Linked DNA regions of Oreochromis niloticus. Each later gene encodes a partner of the first gene's protein in a complex. Links are inferred from orthologs where the notes say so. Each region holds a gene or a part of one and is shown on either strand. Other genes may lie near its edges. The genes, in order: orc2 and lrwd1.

Region 1 (7,426 bases):
GCAGATCTGGGCCTGTGAGGACATCGGTGTAAAACATGCGGTACAACCACACATGCTTGGGATGCACAGGGGTTTGATGGGCTTACTATCTTTTAAGGTGTGGGAGATAAACTGGATCTGGTCCGAGGGGGTTCGGAAAGTTCCCTGGTGATCCAGAACCTCACACGTCAGAGCATTTAATATCTGTGAGAATTTAATTTTCATGATCAGGGATATTTATTTTATTATGCAATTTATGCAAAATATTTTCATGTGTGTGTGTGTATACTGACTGATTTAAGAGTAATGGAAGGGAAAAATCCATTAACCACAAGATGAATTTCTTGCGACAGATGACACTCCCTGAAGTCTTCCAGCAGAGCTTTTTTGCTTCCCAGACCGTAGACCAGCACGCTGAATCCCAGCCTACACACAGACAGGCACAGACACTTTTTACTGCTCTTAAAACACCAGAAAAATGCATACAACTACGTTGCAACCTCACTTACTGTAACTGTAACATCCATTTGCTAAAGTGGATTCTGTGTTTGTCGTGCAGCTGCTGGATCTCTTTTGAGTAGCAGGATTGTTTCCCCTCCAGAAGTCGGACCAACATTTCCTGCAAAAACAAAAATAAAGATAAATTCACACTAAATCTATTAGGAAAGCAGCTCATTTACAATGTTTCAAAATGCCGTTAAAAACAAACCCTGTCAAGTTTAGGGGTGTTCAAACGCTCCAGAGTTCGGTCTGATGTCAACACTTTCGAGCTGCCGTGAGCTTCGAAGTACTCCTCAACCATACTGGGCTGGTTCTGAGGTTCGGGCGTGCTCTTGCTCTTCTTGGCAGGAGTCTTGTAGAGAGCCGCTGATAAACCTTTACTGGGAGTTCTCGGTGTGGTCACGTTCTCTTTATCCTCTTTCTTTCCTTTCTGCTCTTCCTCCAGCCCATCTTCATCCTCCTCCTCACCCGAGTCAGAGGGTGAAAGCTCACTGTCGCTGTCTGACCGCAAGCTCGGAGCTAAAAACAAACAAACAAACAAACAAACAAAAACAAAACATTTAGATTAGAGGAAAGGTGAAATTTCACTTAGAATGAATTGAATTATTCCCAGTTAGACTCACTTGCTATTCTCTTCCTGAGCCTGTGTGGTGTTGTAGAGACAAACTGGACCTTTTTGCTCTGCCGTTAAATAAAAATAAAATAAAATTCTTAAGTTGGCACCAGAGGTCGCTGGCTTTGGACTTTAAGTTTAAAGGTTTCTATGGTCTCACCTTCTGTGGTGTTCTGCTTTCACCTCTAGGGTCTGAAATAGAAGAAAAGAAAATATTTAACTGTGTGAAAATGAGCAAAAAGATGAGTATACGGAAAAGATTATGAAAGTTCATTGTACTCACTCCACCCCGTTCGACTGGGGGTTGAGGGTTCAAAGTTTGGGGTCGTGCTGAAGCTCACGCTTTTTCCAGGAGTCCGAGCCAGCTCACTTGCTGTTTATGGAAAGTGTGCAACACAAAATGAGCATATATGGTATCTAAAGAAAGAACTGGAAGGAGATGTATAATGTGCGAATTTTCCGATCTATGTGAGAAGAGAATGGAGGCTCTCACCAGTTTGGGCCATGCTGTGGCTGCGTTTAACTTTCTGAAAGGTAAAGATGGAGGATCCAGCCACTCTTGACAAGCCATCTTCATCTTCTGTAAATCCAAGAGAAAACTGGTCATTTTAAAATGAATTTAAAAAAAGAAAGAAAAAAAAAGCCTCATATATTTTTCATGCATTTATACAAAGCTAAAATTTCACAGCATTATGAATGTTCAAAATTCCCACCAAAAATTTTAAAAAGATTTTTAAACTCATGTAATCAAACAACCTATATGCCAGTACTGATAAGCATATAATATGTTAATATCAGCAATATAGTCCATCTGACAAACACACTTAATGTGTGCAATGGAGTGAAACTGAGGTGTACAGAAAGTCTCCTGCCATAATCATAAGTACCTCTGTGACATGAATATTTTTACAAGGATTTTGTAGGGGATTTGAGCTAACTATATGCAAATCTCTGTCATTGATTTGAATTTCAGCTGGTAAACCAGCACTTGCGAAATTCCACATTTGTACTTTGCCTGACTGTGTAGAGTTAGAAAATCAGCCAACGTCTGTCTGCATTTTTCCAAACGTATTTGGGTAAATCTACAAAGAGCAGTAAACCTGAGTCAGCAGTATCGTCAGCTGATCACGGTCTGTCTGCAAAGAAAACAAACCTCCCGGTGAAGAAAGTCATTACCCCTGCTCAGCACTCACCTTCTGCATTATCTGTTCCTAAAGCTTGGACATAATCCTGCTCATCGTGGACTCCATTTTCATCTCCATCATGTTCCGCATCCTCTCCGCATCCCCGTCGTCCAGCCGGGCTCTTAAACTTTACCATCTTCTGAACGGACCCGGCGATGCTCTGCGCAACTTATGGAGGTACGCACAGTACAGACAGCAGAGTCAGAGAGACACAGAAGTGCTCGTAAACTAACATTTCTACAGTAGCAGAGCATCCATACCCTCCTGCTTGTCCACGATGTGCTCCAGGACATCGCAATCCCCGATGAACTTCACCTCCAGCACACTCATGACTAAAGATAACAACGACAAACAGCGCGACTTTAGTTAGTTGCTTGTAACACTACAAAATATGCTTTGCTTTTCAGAGGTGTAGTTCCTAACGCAGGTTTTCATTCAGTCCGTTTCTATTCACGAACACTGTGGGGGCGGCCATTCTTCTCAAACAGCGAGAAACAGCCCTGCTTCAATCAGCGGCCACACGCCGAAAGTCCAAATAAAAGTGGGAAATAAAAACAGAAACAAAAATGCGTCTAAAACGACACAACTTACTGTACAGCGTCAGTACCGCCACACAAAAATGTAAACACAACTTTCACACAGTGACAGCAAGGCAGTGTGCTGCTGGGACAAGTTTCCGCGCCATCCTGCTGAAGTTTTTAAACCATGTGACAAGTGAAAGGTCATTCAGTGGCCAACTGGAACGCTGCTTCCAGCTAAAACCACATTTCCCAAGATGCACTTCGAACAACAGCTCAGTCTGTGCGGCTAGAACCCTACAGGGGAAGGGTTTTTGCCGACTGATTAATTATTATATTTTCAATAAGTAATGTAGGTTACTATTAATGCGAATGATGTATTTTCTGTAATATTAAAAAAAAATAACATTTATCACCAAGATATTTTTTACGTGTCCGTTCAAACGCTGGCAATTATCTATTCATAGATTACAGAAAAATAGAAGACTAAAGGGGACCAAGAAACTTTTTATTTTGTTAGAAAAAATAAATCACAAAAGTTTGCAGTTGTATATAAAAGGTCATTCATTAGCATTTATTAGCACTGGTATTAATAGCTGATAGCACAAAACATCTTTCTTTTTATGAAGTCATCACTAGCTAGGTCTTCTTGTAGGCCGTGAAAAAGTGACAAAACAAGTGCAGAACACAATTAATTTTAAAGAGATTTAAATTAGTGAAACAGGGTTTCTGTTACAATATGAAACTTCTGAAGCCCACAGTAAGAATATTTTCATTAATTGTATGTTTTACCATCAAGATGACACATCTCACTAACAAAGAAGGAATCGCTGTATGTGTTTCTAATGTGTAAATAATTTGGAATGAGTCTCTATATAGCTCATCTGTCCCAAAGAGACAAGAAGGGGGAAACATCGTCCAGCTCTTCACCACCCGCGAGTGGGCGTCCACTTCCCTACCAGACGACCCTCAGAGTGTACATGGTACACAGGATGCATCACTGCTGTTGCACATGACTGCAGAAAAAAGGCATTGTCTGACAACAGGAAAATGTACAATAAAACTGATGTGTCAATAAGATGTGCTATAAATCATTCAGTACTAACGTGGTAGGGAATCAGTGTGAGCAGAGAGCCCAGGGGGTATTTGCTGTAGTCCAGTTGTCCTGAGATGGGCTCCACTCGTCCATGCTCCTGGGTCATAGACAACAACCTGGAGGGAAACGCCAGTCACGTTTAACATTGGTACTGAGAGTTATAGAGAAAAAAGATACTAAAATAGACTGAGATTTCTTTTTTTTTTTGAAGCATTACTTGAGGTTTGGATGCCCCTCGATCACAGCATATCCAGTGGGAAGTTTCCCAGCTCCGTCCAAACTGAGAGACACAAGCAAGAGTAGGTAAAAGGTTAAGTTACATGGTTGTTCCAAAACAGAGCTTACACTGATGATAGCAGTGATGAGTAAAACAAAAAACAGAACATAGGGGATAGGTATTAGCTCCCACTGAATGAAGTTGAACCCACCTGATTCCAGCCCATCCACAGTCAATCAGGAGCTGGTTCCTGTGTGGACAGTGACCGATGACTCTTGTGAGAACCCTCACAGCCACGTCCTCCAGACAGCATGAGCCAATCGTAGACTGCTGCACATCTGCATCCCACAAACATACATTTAAAAGAAATTGTTATTTAAAGGCCCTTTTGAAAAATATATTTTAAGTGTGACATGTGACATGTCTCCCGACTATTCCTCAGCTCAAAATACCAATAAGGTCATTTATCCTGCCATACCTATAGACTGTTTAATAAACCTCTGCTCCAAACAGGCTGTTTCAGCGCCTGTAGCTTTAAATGTTGTCGGGTCCCGAAGTGAACTAGAAACATGTCGGGGCAAGTAGACAAAACTAAGAGGCAGCAATATCATGACCTTAAGAGCACAGTACGGTCAGGGACTGTTTTTATAGGGCAAAGGGCTCTTTCGATTCTATGTTTCCCATCTGATGTGAAATCAAAGGGCATGGTCTGTGTCATGTTTACTGGGTCACGCTGGGAATATTGAATATACACAACAAATAACGAAAAAGTGGATTTTACACGTCACACTTAAACTAGGAAACAGTGGGTCTACGTGTACACACCATAGAAGACGTAGTTTCCTGGGTGGACCTCGCTAAGCTGCGCCATGTCTTTGACTGGATGGCTACAGGTAGGGGTGGAGCCAATGCTGGACTTACAGGTGATGCCAACAGCCTTCAGTCTGACACAAAAAATCCCAAAACAAACAAACAAAAAACCAGTTGAAAGACAAAGTTAATGCAGAATTATTCTTCCAGGTGGCTCTAAAAGAGTCAATCACACCCACAAGAAAATGCTCAAATTTAGAGGAGAAATAAACATGTTTACAGCCTGGTGCAAAAGATGGGATACATCATTTTTAGATATGATGTATGATTTATTTGTTGCTTCTGGAAACAAAGCTGTGTGACTCAATACAAGAAACCTGTGGGCTGTGAAACTAAAACAAAGATGTTAAAATAGGTCATAAAAACTAATTTTTCAAGAGTATGAGCAACAGCTTTTATGTCGTGTGTGTTCTTAAATAGCCAGTGAAATAAAATGATTGATTAGAGCAGCTTTAATGAGTCAGTGTACATGTATTTTTTTAAACTTTCAGCTTACTTTTCCATGAACTGCAGAGTCAGTTTGGTGGTTTCCTGGGCAACAGCCTGTATTTGCTCAACTCCTGTGCAGTAATAGGTATTCCCACAGTGGGCGTACACTCCTGTAAGTTCCACGCCCTCCGTCTTAGCGATGGCTTCAGCCAGTTTGAGCGCTCCTGGCTCCGAGTGCAGGACGCCAGCTATGACAAAGAGCCGACGCATGATCAAACCTCGTGTTAACAGAGAGGTGAAGTGTAGCTCAGGCACTTATGATTAGATCTATTGCGGTTTCCCTGCACGTTTACCTCTCCCATTGCCACAGTCGAGTTTGAGCCAGACGTGCCACTGCCGACCATCTTTCAGGGGTCTTTTTCGGAGCTGCTCCAAAGCATCAGGATGGTCCAATAAAATCTGGAAGAGATCCAGTCTCTCTGACAGGGCTGCACAACGCTCTACCTAAAGACACACAGAGACATACATTAGAAATGGCACAGAGAGCACAGCTGGGACATTAAAAACTAACAAATATAAAACAGATGAGAAATTATGTCAAAGTAATGGCATAGAACTGGAGCTATTTTACATGCAAGTGCTATGGCGATATACATGTATCATATATTTACATATATGTATTGTTTCTAGTGATAATATTACTAAATATGATTCATAGTTGATACATTTTCAGCAGGCTCAGTTATTAATAATATATTTTTTCCATTTCTAATTTTTTACAGCTTTTATGATTTCACAGAATATAAAACAAGGACACATTTAAAGTGTGAGCTGAGAGAACCTTATCAAAGGGAACAGAGTAGGCATAGAGGATGTCATCATATCCATGGTCAGCATAGAAACAGGCCTCTGCCAGGGTGGAAACCACTATGCACCTCTGTGATCCACCCGTCATAATGTCAGCACACTCACTGGACACACACAGAGACCTCATCAGAATCCTGTATACACAGCAAGTCTGTAAGCATGTGCTGTGTGCGTGTCTATGCGTGAGCATATGAATCCATACAGGGTTTTGTGGGTCTTCATGTGTGGACGAAGCTGGACTCCCAGTTTCTGGCAGCGCTCGATCATCCTCTGGGCATTCCTCTTCGCTTTATCCACATCCACCACAAAAGCAGGAGTAAACAGGGCTGAGAGAGGATCTCCCTCCATACTGGCAGCACTGGAGTACACACACACACACACAGAGCACTTCAGATATTTCCCATGCAATTAAATTCTATTGCATGATTGGCTCAACCAGCATATTTCTATAGTTATATTTATAAGTATCTGCTATACATGCACGAATCAGCAAGTAAACTTCATTACACTTGGGTGTGGTTTTGCAACGTCTCTGATTATGTAATGCAGCGCACTTTGAACTTTGACAACACTAACTTAAACTTAAACACTAACTTTACAAATGGACTGCAACTCATTAAGCAGTATTTTATTCCTCCTCTTTTTGTTACTATAAAGACCTTCCGATAATATTATCGTGCGTCATAATGATAGATAGAATAAAATCAGACTGCATTCGAATCTGCATAATAGCGTTTGTGAAACAGTGAGGGTAAACACTAGCACAATAACAAGCATCGGAAACAACAACAATAACAACAAAAAATGCAGACAAATGCAGCACAAACCACAGTTTACCTTTTCAAAACAGTGAATCGGAAGTTCCGATCACATTACTACGGTGTCCTCGAGGAGTCAAAAATAATGAAAAAAGTACAACCAGGGAGAACCTTTAGCGAATCATAAAATAAATCATAGAAAAAAAATCTAATATACCCGGTAGTTAAAGTCGCAGTAGCACAGGAACAGAGCGGGAGGGAAAGAGAGAGATAGCGAGCCAGGGACAACAACAAGAGACAACATCGTCACGTTAGAAAGGTATAGTAATCATCCACAACTATTTTCAGTTGCGGATGATAAAGGATTCAGAAAGTTTATCCATGCAGTGAATCC
Region 2 (7,824 bases), on another chromosome or scaffold:
TACATAATAACTTTAACTGCTTTCTTTTTAAAATGTATTATTTAGTATAGTAATCTCTCCAGTGACAATTCATTTCCCCCATCATGAAAAATGTTATTATAAATTGCTCCAAACCCCAGCAGAAATAAACCTCTATTCAGGAAATACAGAAGACAATAATTCATTTGACCCTGGCTTTTTATTGAAAAGTTATCTCTTTTACAATATAATTTATTTTTTCCTTTAAATATCACAAAGTAAATCACTAAGCAGGAACGGCACTCCCAATCCTGCTACATCCTGAACACAGTAACAATAAAGGTTTTGTCTTCATGTTTGTAGTCCTTAATCAAATTCATATGTTGCCAGCTGGATGAACTGGAGACGTGACTCCATTGTGAATACAGACATCTGTGACCAGTGAAGCTAAATGTGTGGATAACAGCAGCAACCTCAAAAACACAATTAGAGAACTGAAAAATAAAAGCTTTGACACCATTGCACATTTCCTGTTTCTTTTGAATAGACAATGACTTCAAGAAAGATGACTTGAACACAAAAACTTTGTAAAGGCAGTTCGTTTTGAGCGTGCAGGCCACATCCTGTTTGTAGTTCTCACTCTGTGTCTGAGAACTCATCGGGAACTGGACAAACTGGGTTTCAGAAAAATGACTCGCAGCCACTGCTGATTCAACAAAGCCAGATATGTGCAGCTGCTGCACATGATTGTTTCAGGTGACAGATCTTTTGATTCACTTTTGCAATCAGATTTGATTTTGTTTTAAGTCATATTTTACTGTTAAATGTTTATCTTAACAATTATAATTGCAGTTCTGAAAGAGAAAAAAAAAGCCTCAATCCCAACACGTGTATAATTCTCTATTCAATTTATCATCAAAGATTTGTTCTTATCATCACAAAGTCAAAGATTAGGTTTGTGTCAGTCTCTCTGCACACACACACACACACACACACACACACACACAAACATATATTTATATTAGTGCTGTCAGCGTTAATCTCGTTAAAATGACGTTAACATCATAACCACATTAACGCGGCAAATCTCCATTAGCGAGTTACCACGGATCGCCCTGTGCGTGGAAAAATTGCTTTATTCTCTCCATTTGTCATAAAACAAAAAGAACACTGAGGGTGGGGGTGGAATAATATAATGACATTGGAGCTATTTTAACACAATTTCCCCCCAACATTTTTTCCAAAGCAATTCGACTTCAGCTTGGCTTCGCACCACAGCAGATGTTCAACTAATTAATGCACACAAGCCTCGTGAGCACTGCTCACTATTTGGGGAGCTGGCACAGATCCAGCAAACAAGCCCTAGGGTGTCCAAAGGACACATCTTTACAGTTTAAGACAAGTCCAAGTGATTTAGATTGCAGCTCCCTCTGGATCCATCAAATTAGATTAAACTGGAGAGCCTTGGAAGTTCAAGGCGATATTCAACAGCTGGGCTCCGAGGTCTGCCTGCTGCCCTCCAGGCAGGAACTCTGCAGATAGCTCTCTGTAGGTGCTGCAGACTCTACGTACATGAATGTCCTTCCTGTGAATGGCGTGTTTCCATTTATGCCGTGCCTCGCCGTATAAAACTACTAAACATCTGCGAGGAAGGTTCACAGCTACATGGACCTCCCCTGTTAGTCCCAGCTCTGGCAGACCCTGCTCCAGAGACATGGTGAGTGTAGTGTCTGACAACATGTTAATGGTGACTAAGCGCTCCCCCCACAGCCAAGAATCGTCTAAGTGTGGATCGATGGCTGCACCTCGCTCAGGATGATAATCCAGGTTGCACTGCTCCACTGGCTGGAAGCCGGCTAGAGCTGATTCCTGATACATCCGAAGCACAAGTTTATGGCTCAAAGCAGGGAGTCCACTGAAGCCACCCACACGCACTTTCCTTTTCTTGAAGTTCACCTTCGGGCCAAAGTCCTGCAACAATATTGGAGGAGGCTTTTGGTCACTCCATTACTACGGTATATATACTTTCCATACTATATATATCAAATAGAATTGACGACAATGTTATCTATATAGCACATTTTATTATGGGTACACTTAGTATGCTTACCATAAAAGATAAAAAAAGCTATGTAGCTCTACAACATTTAAAGGCAATATAAAACAGTAGTAATTCATCTCATGTCCCACCCACAAAATAAGAGTGTTACAGTAATCTAACCTGCTTGATCTGAAAGCATGGCCCAATTTCAGAGTCAGTTTGAGATAAGAATTTTCTAACCTTTGATATATATTTTGAGTAGCAGAAAGCAATTCTGTCTATTTTATTAATATGATTATCAAAACTGAGACCACAGTCCAAAATGATCCCAAGGTGCCTGACTTGTTCATCGTTTTTCACAGAAAGGGATAATAAATATGAACAAATTTTCTCTGTCTCTGACTTTTTGGATTTTCTATCTTGTCTCTATTCATTTCTAGAAAGATTCTAGACATCCACAAGTTAATGTCATCAACGCAGCTTAATAATTTGTGAACAGGTTAGATCAGTTAAGTGATAAGGTTAAAAAGTAACCAATGACAGAATGTTTATTTCTGCAGTTCTAAAAATATTAACTGACACATAGAAACATTTACCCTTTAGTCATGATGAAACCCAATCGAGAAACTAACGAGTTAAACCAACTGAATCACGAAGCCTTTGAATTAAAATATCACGATCAACAATCAACAGTGTTGAAGGCAGCATGGAGAGGTACGACTCAAACTCTCTGTGAATCAATGTTGATGACCTGAGTAAACTCGGACTGACACTTATATTGACTTTACAGCCCTAATAATCGCTTCTATTCATCATAGTCTAAACAAAAATGTTTTGTTTGTTTTTATTTGATCACATGCTAACCTGTTTTCTTCGACCGGACTGCGACTCCTTCCACACATCCTGGTCCATCGCACATATAAGCTCCTTCTCTTCCTCTTCTGATATGAAGTTCTCCCACAGGAAGACCCCAGAAAAGGGGAAGGATGCAGCCTGGGCATCTTTTCCAACAGCGAGCCTCGACTGAGGATCGTAGAGGAAATGATGGACAATCTTCACAGAAAGACAGATAAACAGAAAAACATCGTTATTTATACAGTGACGCAAATGTATTCCTAGAATTATAATTTTTGGCGATGAAATTGACAGTTTGTAGTGAATGCCTTTTTGTTATAAAGACAAACGCTGTTGGCACACATTTATAACCGCAGTAATATCCCTTTAATAAGGATGGAATGTCCTCCGAGGGCACCCGTACCTTGTTGTGTGCGCTGCTGTTAGCAGTATTTGATTATTTTTTTTACTTGTTATAAAAACAATATAACAGTTTTCTGTTGGAAAACAGTACCTTTGATTCACTCGCCTCCGGCTGTACTTTCTCTTTCAACCCTTCGCAGACGAGACACCGGCGGACACCTTTACAAGCGCATGAAGGCACGTCGTCACTGGTGTCGGGAGCCATCATCCTGCATCTTCTTCTTGTGTCAGGAAGTGGCAGCAAACGAAAACATTTAACTATCGCCAGCTAGCGGAGAATGCGGGCATTTTCAGGGTTAGCAGAGCTAAAGGAGGAAGCAAATAAGAAAACTGATATCTGAATATAAAAAATACAAATGTATATATATTAATAATAATTTTAAAAAACATAGTAGTGGAAGTAGTGTTTGTATCATAACTAGTTATGGTTCACAACCAAAACCATTAACATAACTACATTACTAGTTAATGTTCACTAGTAACATTCACGACTGACTGCCTTAAAAAAGTTGGGGGCAACTCCAAAAGCCTCTTATAGCCTTTGTTTTCTTAGAACAGATAATGATGCAATAAATCATTTTAAAGTGTTTTTGTGGATATTTTGTTGACTCCGTTTACATATGGGAGATTTTCATATACTTCAGTGCCACCCTGCCTAGACCTCTTGCCCCTCCTTGCCGTTCTGTTAAAGTCTTCATTGTTCATTGCTCTAAACTGGGAGTGCCAGAATGAATGCATTTCAGGGGCTACAGACCGCAAAATCTACTCTTCAGTTCTAGACCCTTTCTTTTGAACCATATCCTGAAAATGTTCTGCATGGTGATTAACGGCACAACTTCAACTGAATCATTCAAAAATTACACGAATATTGCCTTTTTTGTTTTGGAACATTGGAACTATACAAAAGCAGAAAATATTCAGATGATGGCTTTTTGGAATGAAATGCCAATAGTATTTCACTTCTTTGTGATCCAAAGAACTTAAAATAATGTAATTTTAAATCAATGTCAATTTAATTCATACAGCACTTTTAATTACACGTAAACTCAATGTGCTTAACGTAAATGAAAAAAGTAATAATAATAAAAACTAAGTTATTGTACCTCTCCAAAAGTTGAATCTGTTCATCTGGACGTAGCATTTTGTGGGAGAAACGTTTTGTCACTCATCCAAGTGACTTCTTCAGTCTCAGCTGACTGCAGGTTTCCCCAAACCTTACAAACAGTACATTTGCATAATGACTGAAACCAGCCCACTGAAGGAACAATGGGCTGTGAGGTCAGTTCCTTAATCATAATTATGCAAATTCCCATGACCATTGATCAACAATCACTGACCAAAACCCACTGATCAAGGAACACTGATCAATGGCCATGAGTAAGTTATTGTACAATTGCCATAGGTTGTTAATCCCTGGCAAGCAAAACCCAGGCTGTAAAAAACAATGTCTTGTTTAAACCACGCCCACCGGATATACGTAACGTTTCCCCGGGAAAGCTCGGTTTCAGCAAGAGTGTTTTGAGTTCGCTCAAGTGTTTGGTAAGTGATATTAATCACATATATTGACAAGTTTTAAGCTGTTTAATAACAAAAGCAAAACCACTAACGCTTGCTCTAATTAAATCAATAATTGTTATTTGTGTTTGTAGCCGAGAAATGTAAATATATAGAGATATATACGGCTGTCGGCACTGCCAACGTGGTTAGCTAGGAGAAACTCAAACTTATTATCATATAACGCTTTCTCATCTTCTTTACGTGAAATATCCTTCCTCACCTTAGTATGGATCTCTATATAGACGTTATGACAACGTTACTTAAAGGATAGAGCGTTATGAAATCGCATTTAGCCTGTTATTGTTGAATAGCCGCTTATTTATCGTAAACTGTTTTTGGAGGAAATTTTCCATTTCTTTAACAGATTAATCATGCTGAGGAGCAAGAGGGGATTTTAATTGCTAAATGCCAAAAATGCCAAAAAAGAGTAATTAGACCAGCTAAAACAAGTGGAACAAGCTCAGTTGTAAACAGTATCTGTGTAATAATATTAAACACAAATCTACTTGTTTAAGTCTTTGTGTGTACTACAGCGTTTCTCATCCACAGGAATTTTCATTGTTCTTGAAGCTGATCAGTGGTGCTGATTACTAATCAGGCCTTCTAAAGCAGTTACAGACCATGTTTGTAATTCATGTTTTCTTATCCTATTGTTTGTATCTAATCATATTCTTAAAGAGCTTTTACGGAGTTTCAGTCCTTGATGTAGTCAGTTTGTTTTGGCCATGTGGGCGGTGCTCTGGTTGCGTGATTAGAACAGGATTGACAATATAAATAAACTAGGAGGACACTTATCTCAGCCCTATCTTCAGTTTGCCATCTTCACTCCTGAATTGTGCTTCTTCCTGCAGATAAGCAATGGAAAAAATCACTGAGAAAGTTTTACTGGAGAAAGCCTCTCCAAAAGCCAACAAACTGGAGCAAATCATGACTTTGAAGTAAGGACTTTGTTTCTCCTTATCATGCTCTGTAGGTGTCTTGCTGTTAAAGTTGCACTGAAGTAAACTGGTAATGCTTAGTTACAGTTGTGGTAACAAGTTTACATCCACTCATCATGGGCATGCTTGTCATGGTATTTTTATGATGATTCTTGTTTTTTTTAAAGTAATTAAAATGTATCCATTCGTTCCACCCTGGAAATTATGAAGCCCTAAATGACCATGACATTTATGCCAATGCTGAGTGCATATAAACAATAAGGCCCTAATATTCAAAGACATTTTGCAGTTGGCTATTTAAAAACTGGAATAAAACATTGAATTAATGGAAATATTTTGATACTTTTGTGATATTTGTGTGTATGCAATAATATTTAAACAAATGATTATAGATGTAATACTATAATCACTAAACGGCTTCATATGTAATTTTATTTCATACCCCATGGAAACACTAACTTTGGTGCTCTTTGTGTTTCAGTCTGTCTAAGATGAGGTTGAAGCTTCAGGATCTACCTGTCAAGCTGCTGTCCCGTCTCCAGTCTCTGGAGAAGTTAGATCTTTCTGGAAACATGCTGCAGGAGTTTCCCAAGAACCTGGAGCTGCCTGCACTTCGCTTCCTGGACCTGAGTGACAACCAGATCGAGGATGTTACCACTCTGGACTCCCTAAGCAACGTAGAAGAGCTGAGGATGGATGGCAACCTCTACATCACTGTGAGCACATAGCTTTGTTTTCTCCTTACACTCCTGTTTTAGGGTTACTCTTTGCAGCTACAGCACAAATGGCAAATACATGAACAGGTTATAACTGACACTTGTCATCAGTATTTCATAAAATCACATACTTCTACACCTACTGCTGTCTGGCTTGGCTCATGGAGAAATATTTGAGTCAGGCTACATTGCTGAATGATCATACCAGCTGATTATTAGTGTTAGCATTGCAAGGGAGCACGTTGCATCAGTTGTCATGACAATAAAATATTCCTGTGTTTGACTCCTCAGCCAGCTCAGGCCTTTGTCTGCTGAGTTTGTGTATTCTGTCTGCATCACCTGCAATACAAACACATGCTGATGATGTGAAATGAAGTCCTGTAGGTGTGAATGGCTCTCTTTTGTGTCAACTCTAAGATAGACTGTGTTCCAACCTTTCTCCCCCACTGTGAAAGAGACACAGTTTCAGCCCCCACTATCCTGCAGACCATAAATGGAAATAAGGAAATCCTTGCTACTCTGTAGGATCTGGTTGTTTTTCTAGGTGATGCATTTGATAAAGCAAAACACATCCCTGCATTCCTATTATCCCAGTACCCCAATGAAAACTGTATTATTAGCAGAGAAATTCTTTTAAAAATGGTTTCCGCTCATTTTCATCCTTTGCTTCTGATTGGCTGCCACTCATAAACAAGATCGAATAGCCGGTAGGTTCAGTCTGAGCTCACAAAAGTGTACACAACAAATATATAAGATCTTTGTCAGCTCAGTAATCAGAATGAGTAATTATATAATAATTCTGAACTATAAACTTGTTTCCTTTTTTGCTGTGATCTCCAGTGTCCTCCACATTTGCACAGTCACATCAAATGTACAGTACGTTTGAAAGGAAAGCGTTCACAGAAAGACTGCACACAGTCATTTTTTAGGTCCCTTCATCATAAAATGCCGCCACACTGACTTAATTGTTAACGTTTCTTTTGGTTATCAGGTGAGTGACACTTACAAGCTGATGGTGTTGCTGCCCAATCTGAGGATTTACAGCGGTAAAGATGTCAGTACTTCTGCCAACCACTTGCGTTATGTCTACAGTGATAATCTGAGGACCAGGGTATGGAACTAATGGCTTATTTTGCTCTACTTCATGGTATTGGTGTTAATGTTCCTGCATTTGATACTGTACAAAGTCATAACATGCACCAAAAAATGATGTTTAGCAGCTGTTGTTTTGAACAAAGATATTTTTGGCACAGATGTGGCAATACGTCGTTTCATCACACAGGCTGTAATCGCTGTCCTAACTATTGCTGTTTATTTTAGATTGCTGCTCTTTGGGAGAATAGCTTCTGCCTCCCCG

The links.
Region 2: the proteins of orc2 (region 1) and lrwd1 are in contact, whole or in part, in a crystal structure (PDB 8SIU), measured with the Rattus norvegicus proteins. The link is inferred for Oreochromis niloticus from reciprocal best matches to the Homo sapiens genes ORC2 and LRWD1. Residues at the interface, in NP_001012003.1 of Rattus norvegicus: Val11, Pro12, Ser13, Val14, Gln15, Phe16, Val17, Gly18, Asp19, Val22, Leu23, Ser24, His25, Ile26, Leu27, Asp28; in XP_038945348.1 of Rattus norvegicus: Pro262, Leu263, His264, Phe265, Leu266, Gln267, Cys268, Ser270, Asn273, Ser274, Pro275, Leu320, Val321, Leu322, His323, Lys324, Tyr325, Lys326, Leu367, Val369, Gly372, Phe373, Cys374, Pro596, Pro598, Val599, Ala600, Val605, Ile630.

What each region holds. Positions count from the first base shown.
Region 1 is NC_031982.2:7,478,723-7,486,148, reverse strand, and holds the start of orc2 (origin recognition complex subunit 2), read right to left. Parts: upstream 3,028-7,426; 5' UTR 2,869-3,027; intron 2,610-2,868; 5' UTR 2,608-2,609; coding exon 2,538-2,607; intron 2,446-2,537; coding exon 2,287-2,445; intron 1,674-2,286; coding exon 1,587-1,673; intron 1,467-1,586; coding exon 1,377-1,466; intron 1,286-1,376; coding exon 1,254-1,285; intron 1,162-1,253; coding exon 1,104-1,161; intron 1,000-1,103; coding exon 689-999; intron 599-688; coding exon 489-598; intron 406-488; coding exon 273-405; intron 184-272; coding exon 87-183; intron 13-86; coding exon 1-12. Other genes in the region: uncharacterized protein LOC100700781, read right to left, coding at 3,722-3,811, 3,902-4,007, 4,109-4,171, 4,320-4,446, 4,934-5,052, 5,475-5,655, 5,761-5,911, 6,249-6,378 and 1 more. UniProt on the Homo sapiens protein: Component of the origin recognition complex (ORC) that binds origins of replication. DNA-binding is ATP-dependent. The specific DNA sequences that define origins of replication have not been identified yet.
Region 2 is NC_031975.2:24,535,081-24,542,904, forward strand, and holds the start of lrwd1 (leucine-rich repeat and WD repeat-containing protein 1), read left to right. Parts: upstream 1-4,713; 5' UTR 4,714-4,795; intron 4,796-4,804; exon of another isoform or gene 4,805-5,658; intron 5,659-5,664; 5' UTR 5,665-5,671; coding exon 5,672-5,751; intron 5,752-6,232; coding exon 6,233-6,467; intron 6,468-7,458; coding exon 7,459-7,578; intron 7,579-7,787; coding exon 7,788-7,824. Other genes in the region: alkbh4 (alpha-ketoglutarate-dependent dioxygenase alkB homolog 4), read right to left, coding at 1,408-1,929, 2,864-3,052, 3,348-3,464. UniProt on the Homo sapiens protein: Required for G1/S transition. Recruits and stabilizes the origin recognition complex (ORC) onto chromatin during G1 to establish pre-replication complex (preRC) and to heterochromatic sites in post-replicated cells.